Daphnia pulex: one gene and its partner. The protein of the gene in region 2 interacts with the protein of the main gene of each other region in a pairwise test. Links are inferred from orthologs where the notes say so. Each region holds a gene or a part of one and is shown on either strand. Other genes may lie near its edges.

The links.
Region 1: the proteins of E3 ubiquitin-protein ligase Su(dx)-like (region 2) and hsp90 co-chaperone Cdc37-like interact in binary tests that used the Drosophila melanogaster proteins (3 or more experiments, as listed by UniProt). The link is inferred for Daphnia pulex from reciprocal best matches to the Drosophila melanogaster genes Su(dx) and Cdc37.

The regions. Positions count from the first base shown.
Region 1 is NC_060026.1:6,136,503-6,140,502, reverse strand, and holds hsp90 co-chaperone Cdc37-like, read right to left. Parts: upstream 2,221-4,000; 5' UTR 2,095-2,220; coding exon 2,062-2,094; intron 1,891-2,061; coding exon 1,757-1,890; intron 1,689-1,756; coding exon 1,524-1,688; intron 1,439-1,523; coding exon 1,058-1,438; intron 985-1,057; coding exon 795-984; intron 731-794; coding exon 560-730; 3' UTR 501-559; downstream 1-500. Other genes in the region: U1 small nuclear ribonucleoprotein 70 kDa-like, read left to right, coding at 1-100, 157-227, 290-393. UniProt on the Drosophila melanogaster protein: Co-chaperone that binds to numerous kinases and promotes their interaction with the Hsp90 complex, resulting in stabilization and promotion of their activity. Required for cytokinesis and chromosome segregation in mitosis and male meiosis.
Region 2 is NC_060026.1:2,734,024-2,738,285, forward strand, and holds the start of E3 ubiquitin-protein ligase Su(dx)-like, read left to right. Parts: upstream 1-1,333; 5' UTR 1,334-1,685; intron 1,686-1,766; 5' UTR 1,767-1,872; coding exon 1,873-1,966; intron 1,967-2,030; coding exon 2,031-2,175; intron 2,176-2,236; coding exon 2,237-2,393; intron 2,394-2,464; coding exon 2,465-2,613; intron 2,614-2,692; coding exon 2,693-3,016; intron 3,017-3,083; coding exon 3,084-3,239; intron 3,240-3,302; coding exon 3,303-3,411; intron 3,412-3,487; coding exon 3,488-3,654; intron 3,655-3,734; coding exon 3,735-3,863; intron 3,864-3,994; coding exon 3,995-4,237; intron 4,238-4,262. Other genes in the region: alanyl-tRNA editing protein Aarsd1-B-like, read right to left, coding at 1-15, 77-207, 279-395, 458-576, 654-906, 972-1,100, 1,171-1,209.

The DNA of each region.
Region 1 (4,000 bases), about 3.4 Mb from region 2:
CTGGTCAAGTCGCTTCTGGCGATGAGCGTCGCAAAGAAAAAGATCGAGTTAAAGACAAGAACAAGGATCGCCGGGAACGTCGCGATCGTTACAAGGATAAGTAAGCAATCAAATTATCGAATTCAACTTCAGAATTTAATGAATAATTTTTCACAGGGAACGAGAGCGTAGGGACTATGTTCGGGAGGATGGTGAACAAGTGCGAGTGAAGGAAGAACCGCCTGATGGTATTGGAATTAGCTGTTAATGAAAAATATCTATTACTAATTTGTGGAATTGAAATTTGCAGATTATGACTATACGGCCCAACAATATGATGGCTATAATCAATATGATCCTGACAACATTAAATACGAAGTGGAAGAGTCGCAATTCCAGACTGAAGAATACTAGCGTATGTTTTTATAGCAGTAACTTGTCTGTTCTTAAGGCTTTTTAACTTTACAATTTTAAAGTGAGGTGAGTATGAAACTGGAGGTAAAAACGTCAAATACACGTTATTCAAAAGCCCCAGTGTATTAATTCATTATTAATGAATATAATAATCCAAACTAGTATTTTAATTTTCTGCAACATTTTCTGCAATATTTCCAGCAACATTTCCGTCGGGTACCCACAATCCGGAGTCAACACATCTTTTCATATGAAACCGTGCTTCTTCTTCAGGTAGTGTTGAAATTGCTTGTTGAAGAAGCTCAATGTTTTGTTTTTCAAAACAATCCTTAAGAACCTACACAACAAAACACATGATTCATATATGTGGAAGGAAATTTATGTGTCTTGCTCAATTATACCTCCGGTAAACTTTCAAATACTTCAACGGGATCCAACCCTCCAGGACCAAGTCGTTTTTTCTTTTCTTCCTCCTCAGCTTCGGCAATTGCAGCTTCTATTTTCTCTTTCGCCCGCCGTTGTATACGGTCTTTGAAAGCTACAAGTTCGTCTTCAAATCCTTTACGATACTCAACATCTGCGATTTGAATTCTAAAAGAGATAAAATAGTAAACAATTCATTTAGTTATAGCTACATAAAGGACAACTTAATATAAAGATAAACCTTGAAAAGAATGAAGACACACATGATCTTGGATCTCTGTTAAGGTGCCTGGATAATTCAAGAATGAATTGCATGCAAATGCACTGATGGGCAACATGTTCCATTAAACTTGTTTTCTCTTCCATTTCTAAATTAATACACCAAATCACGAGATAGTTTGCTGTTTCTTCACAAACCAGCTCTGGATTTTCTTGAAGGAAACGCTTACTATCATCATACTTTTGTAGCATTCCATATGCCTTAAGATTTTTCTCATGTTTCTTGAAAAATTCACGTGTTTTGATTTCTTTCTCCTCTTCAGTGAGCTCTTTCACTTTTTTGGGTTGGTCAACATTGACCACAGTTTTTGAAAATCCAGGTTGACTAATTGTATCTACATTCCTAAAAAAAATATGCAAAAAAACCACAATTAAACTTTGAAATTAGACATCACATTAGGATATATTGAAGTGAATCTTTTAAATACCATGGCATCAACTTTTCCTTTTTTTTCATTTGTTCTTCATGATCTTCGAGTTCAATTTTTTTCGATTCTAATTCACTCAATTGCTTTTTCAAATCTGTCACATCAATACCTTCTTTCATCACCTGTTCATACTTACTTTTAACTTCTTTTAGTTTGGCAGTGTTCCTTTGTTAGAAAAGTTTGATTTAATGTAAACTTTAACAAAAACATTAAAGCTAGTTATTTAGCATTACTCATTTTTTGCTTTGAGAAACAGAGCTTTTTCTTGTTCCATTTCCTTCATTTTTTCTAATCTAGCTTCGTGTCGCCATTTGAACAGAGAAGGCGTGTCAACGTTAGGATGTGTATCATCCTCATCGTCAGATATCTGTAAAGTATTATGAAGTACGTGAGTGTTTAAATGAAACATATAAATAACGAATACTTAATTACGATACTTAATTACGATTAAATACTATACTGACAATAAATAGAAGGTTAGAGAACCCGCAAAAATATGGTAAAATAACAACACAACATTTTTGAAGCAACAATTTACCTCGATATTTTTCCATTTGCTGTAGTCTACCATTTTATTCGCGATAAAGTTAAGAACTTAATGGAAAAGTGGAAAGTGACAGATTATCTAAACGCTAACACTACGAATCTACGATTGTAGACTCGACAGAGTGGTGGCAGAAAACTGAACCTTTGCCTAAGTGATAACTCCAAAGAGGTACACCCCTCTGGCGATGGGTGGAGCTTGTTCCTGAATGGACTAAAGCAACTTCGTCTCTACTAAGGCCATTTTAGCTAAAAAAAGGGGGGTTTTAGTTTTAGCCTTTAGGAAAAATGAACATTATTGACACATTACACACTATTTACATAATAAAACCCGGACAAAATCGTAGCGTGGGATCTTAAAGAAATGAACCATTAAACATTTATATACGGGAAATAGGGGTCTTAATTCAAAAAATTTATTCATTATAAACTGATACTTATTTTATTAATAAAAAATGTCGTGACGATTGCAATCGTTCGATCGTGCGATCACGACCACGGTAAATTTTTAGCGATCGCGATCCAAACTGAAAAACGCGACCGGGATCGGAATTGCAGGCCAGAAATCGCTCGATCAGATTTGCGATCGTCGCTATCTTTAATTAATAAAAAAACCCTTTTTTTAAATAGCACCACCAATAAATTATTGTTTTTATTTTTATATAAAAAATTATTGTTATACATTAAAGTTTATAAAGTTTCAGTGATTAAATGTATTTTTGCAAATTGCTTTGTGCTTTGTCTTGATTCTTGAAAACGTTGGTAATCATTTCCCCTTGCCATCTAGCGGCGATCGCAAAAAAGATCACGACCTTGACATGATGTTTGTTTCTGTTAATCGGGCCGGGCTCGCGGTAAAAAAAAAATATCGGCCACAACACTGTTGATAAAAATGTGTTACAAATTTTTTACATTTTCGTTAACATTTATTATTTTAAAATTAATTTAACAGCGCGACAAAATGTTCGAGGCTTCGAGCCGTGTTTAACACGGAGTTTATGGCGGTTACCATAAACTTAAAATAAATCATTAAAAGACAATTAAAGTAATTCGAATAATACTAAAAGTAATTTTTTGTGTAAACTAATAGCGCTTATTTGTGAATGACGGTTTTTGTGAGAAGTTGATTTTTTGCGTGCTAAACTTCTTTCTATATCTGTTGCTGTGACTTCACATGTTGCGTAGTCAGCATCGCGCAGTACTCTGTTTTCACCTGGGAGTAACTCCCTTTTGAGTCCTCCTTCAAATGCATTCTTTTTTTCCTTCGAATGTCGTTTCTTTTGAGAGTCATATCTTCATTTGTACTATGGAAAAAAGCATTCCGTTGTAGGCTTTAACAAATCATGTTTCTAAACGTGGGCGAAATTCTCTTACTCGTTCGTTAGCTTTTTGTTCAATTTCAGACAGTTCGTTCTTAAAAAATTGATTCTCAGATGGGTCCTTAAATGGTTCTATGATTAAATCTTTCCATTCATTGTATCCAGTAACGGGTTCTGGGTTTTCAGGTTGGCTAAATGTTCCTGGAATGACAGAGCTAATTTTTTGAATTGTTCAGAAAAATAACGTTTTATCTGTTCTTTAAAATCGACTCTCTCGAAATAGGGAATCTTTTCTCTGAGAGGTCTAGATGTTTTTTAGTCCTTCATCGGGTGAGTAGGGTTGGGACCGAAGCGTCTGTTGCGTTTTGGTACAAAATCACTAAGGTGTCAACCCTGACGCACGGCAACGTCCATGACGCGTCGTATGCAAAATCCCCAAGTCTTATCTCTCTCTCTCTATTATCTCGTCACCCTTTCACCCACCTACTCAACTTTGAAGTTGGGTGGGTGGGTGGTTTTTGACGAGGGCTGGGTCGTCGGGCTTCGTCTCCAATCCAATGGAAAAAACAAGACTTGGGGATTTGGTATACGACGCGTCAAGGACGTTGTCGTGCG
Region 2 (4,262 bases):
TCTTCAGGTCCGTTTCTGAAACGAGCAAATGAGTTAATCACTTGTCATTTCAACAATTATTTTAAGCATTTCATACTTCAGAATTTTAGTCAACTGGCGCTCCCTGTCAAGTGAACGATTGATGTAATCTAGCACTCGATTTCCACTTATAAAGAAGAGGTTGGTCTTATTTTTTTTACCCTTTTCAGCATAAAGCAGCTTTATGAACTAAATGAAGTATTTTAATCGATGGTTAATTATTGCTTGTACTATTGGGGGTAGTAAACTGCGTACAATACCTGTAAATGACTAAGGTTGGAAACGTGAGTTCCACAACACATGTTGCTGTCTACACCTAAAATAGTTACGACGCGAACAGGACCAACGTGGTCATCGGGAAGACCTCTAGAACGGACCTACGAACCCAATATGGTTTTCTTTAATTTAACTTTAATGTCAATTAAAGTAAAATTCTTACTTGGTCGGGTATCGCATCTCCTTCGTATACTTTTACTTCCACAGAGACAGCTTCCCTGATTTTCTCATTCACTTGGCTTTCAATGGTTTTTAGTTGGGCATCAGTCAGATTTACAGTATCTTGTAATTTAATATTAAGTGTCAATCAATGATGCTACAGAAAATTCTGAACACAAAGTTAAGAAGGAAAAATTTACCTAATTCAATATGGGAAACAGATTCCCCAAGCCACCAAGATGTTGTTTTGAAACCAAATGAAGCATCAGCAATTGCAGTGATTAGATGCTGCCCAGAGTGTTGCTGCATATGATCCCACCTTCTCTCCCAATCAATGACACCTGTAGCTAGAGTCCCAACATCCAGGCTGTCTTGTAAAAAATGGATGGCATCCTTCCCTCTTCTTTTGACTTGAAAGACAGGGATTCCGTTCAAGAAGCCTCTGTCATCAGGCTTTTGACATTTGAATTTTTAAAACCAATTCTATATGAGGATGTGTAATTTAACGTAAAAATTACCTGGCCTCCACCTTCAGGAAAAAAAACGGTATCTTCCAATAAGACTTCAAATGCTTGTACTTTCTCCTTTTTCCCCTGGACGAGCCTCTCGATCTGACACGGCGAACAAGAGACGACTTTGCTCGTAAACTACGAAACACCATACTGATCATTAATAGGATAAGAAAATACAAATACCAAAAAGGAAAATTTATTGAACCTCTTTCTTGTACGGTGATTTTTGACATTCAAAGACCATCGTAGACTTTTGGCAAATTTTGCACTGTTGTTATTTTTTTTTTCTTTCTAGCAGACAAAAATACAATCCATCTGTTGGCAATATTTACAACTTTGAAGAAAACACTAAGAGAAGAAATTGGCAACAGTGTTTTAAGCCAAGAAAAAATGGTGACTTATTGCAAAGACTTGTAGTCTTGTACTTGTGTTTTGTGTGTTTGCTATAATTGCAGCTATAATTTTATCTCGTTCAACGGGAAATACCACCAGAGTTTCTAATCTTTATACTGCCTGCTTGTATTTCGGTTTATTGACATTTTAAAGAGATAATTTTACTTTCGCGCTAATACTCAACTGAGCCCTGTAGGTGTATTTTTTTGCTGTTTTCACTTCACAGTGACATTTTTCTAAAGTCCTAAAGCCTGGTTGTTATAAAGATTATAAATTAATTTCAACACCGAAACATCATTCATGTTCCATGTAGCAGTGTGGATGCAGGTTAGTGGTTTGCATAGCAAAATCTTTATCAGTGATGACGTCAAAAATCAGTACTCATCTTATCTCTTAAATTTTTTACAGGTTCCTGTTCTGATTATGGGCTTTGATAGTATTGAAAACACCAGATCAGTTTAGTATCTGGTGTAGTTCTGAACTACAGCAACGTCCAAGGTCTGACCTCCATGAAATGGCTGAAACTGTTGCAGCTGTTGTAACCAGTTCCAATAGCGCAAGCTCTAGGAACAACAATGACTCCCACTTTCATCAACTAAATCTCTCAGGTTCAATGCAATTGATATTTAATCTTTACATTGGAAAAGTTCTAATCTGATTTATGCAATATAGTTCTAAAGGCCACTGTTGACCCAGTTTGCATAACAAAAAAGCCTTCACCATATGTTGAAATCTTGGTTGATGGGAAAGTGGTTTGGAAAACTGAGGCTGTGAAGAACACACATGATCCCACTTGGTCTTGTGAATCCTTTACTGTGTATGTACAGTTGCTATGATTCAGCACATTTGCAAGTGTCTTATCTTATTTATTTTTCTAGTCTTGTGAAAATCAATTCAAAATGTCTACTGAGGCTCTACAGTCATTCAACTTTCAAGCGAGATTTGGTTCTAGGAGAAGGCAGAATAGATATCCAAAAACAACTAGTACGAGAACAAGGGAAATTTGATAAAACCAGTCTTGTTCTGGATGTTAAGGTAAGCCTCATACTTGATTACTAGAAAAACACAAAACAAACAAAATTATTCAATATTTCTGGCATCAATAGGGAGAAATAAAGAATACTAGCATTGCATCAACGACAGAAGCAGCTAACGGTCGCAGCTCTAAAGTGAAGATTGGAGAAATTTTTATTGTGATGGACGGAATGAGGGTAGATCCAAAATTGTTGACAGGCAGTAGTCGAAGCGCAACGAGGTAATAATGTGCAGCGTTCAAATGGAAGCGAGCGATTCATCATTATAAATCTGTGTGCTCCCATTTTTTTAATCATCAGAGTGAACGGAGAAACAGGTGAATCCAGCTCAACCGCTGAGATCCGGACGAACGGTGCAGCAGTAGCTCCTGTCACGAATTTGACCACGGGCGAAAATGGTGGCGGAGCTCGTCCTCGTACCCGATCGAATGATGTTGAAGCCGCCCCCATTCCAGCAGTAGTAACTGGTGTTCCATCCAGGACACCCAACGGAACACCGCAGCAGACGCCGTCCAGGACTCCCAACGGGACAGTGGCAGCACCGGCTCCGAGGACTGAAACTACCCCAGCCACGACAGCACCTCCGGCTGCTCCACCTGGCCCCGAAGAACCTCTTCCGCCAGGGTGAGTTGATGCTGTTGTTGTATCACATCCATTTGAAATGTAACTGACGTTATTTTGTCTTCATTAGATGGGAAGTCCGTTTCGATAAATACAACCGGCGCTACTACGTCGATCATAACACGCGGAGTACGACGTGGGAGCGCCCGCAGCCTCTTCCGGCCGGATGGGAGATGAGAAGAGACCCTCGTGGTCGAGCCTACTACGTGGATCACAACACTCGATCGTAAGTTTATTTAATGGTTTCAACTTTTTCAATTAAATTAATTCGTATTTGTAAATTAACCAGGACGACATGGCAAAGACCGAATGTTGAACGTCTGCAACATTACGAACAGTGGCAAGGCCAGCGAGCGCATGTTGTTCAACAGTGCAGCCAGAGATTCCTATTTCCACAGGTAGTTGATTCATTGATCATTGAGCTAATCGTGACGTCACTTGCATTGATGTTGTTGTTGTTTTTTTCCTAACTAGGGTGGAGGAGTCAGCACCGGAACGGCGGTGGTGACGGGTACGGAAGAGAGCGATCCGCTTGGACCTTTGCCAGAAGGCTGGGAGAAACGTGTCGAGCCTAATGGCAGGGTCTACTTTGTCAACCACAAGAATCGCACCACACAGTGGGAGGATCCGAGAACCCAGGGGTGTGTCTCTCACTTGTCAATTCATCGAAATCCCTCAATCAATCTATATCTCATTTCTTTCTTTCTCTGATTCATTTCAGGATGAACCAAGAAGATCCTTTGCCTCCCGGCTGGGAAATGCGAATCACGGACGATGGTGTTCATTATTTTGTGGATCACAATACCCGGACGACCACCTTCCAAGATCCTAGACCAGGCGCAACTAAAGGGTATGATTATGTTGTCCATCATTACTGCCACAACGTGTTCTATCCAGCTCGCCCGCTACTTGAAAGTGCTTTTATTGCTTTGTGTGTGTTAATTGCTTGTGTTTTTTTTTTCCTCATTGCGCTGGACGCAGTCCGAAAGGTGCCTATGGCGTTCCCATCGCTTACGAGCGCTCATTCCGCTGGAAGCTATCTCAATTCCGCTATCTGTGTCAGAGTAATGCCTTACCATCACACATCAAGATCACTCTCAACCGGTCGACGCTCTTTGAAGATTCGCACCATCAGATTATGCGCTTGCCCGCCTACGAGCTCCGCAGGCGGCTGTACGTCATTTTCCGCGGCGAGGAGGGCCTTGATTACGGAGGAGTGGCTAGGTAAAATTATTATTAATTAAATACC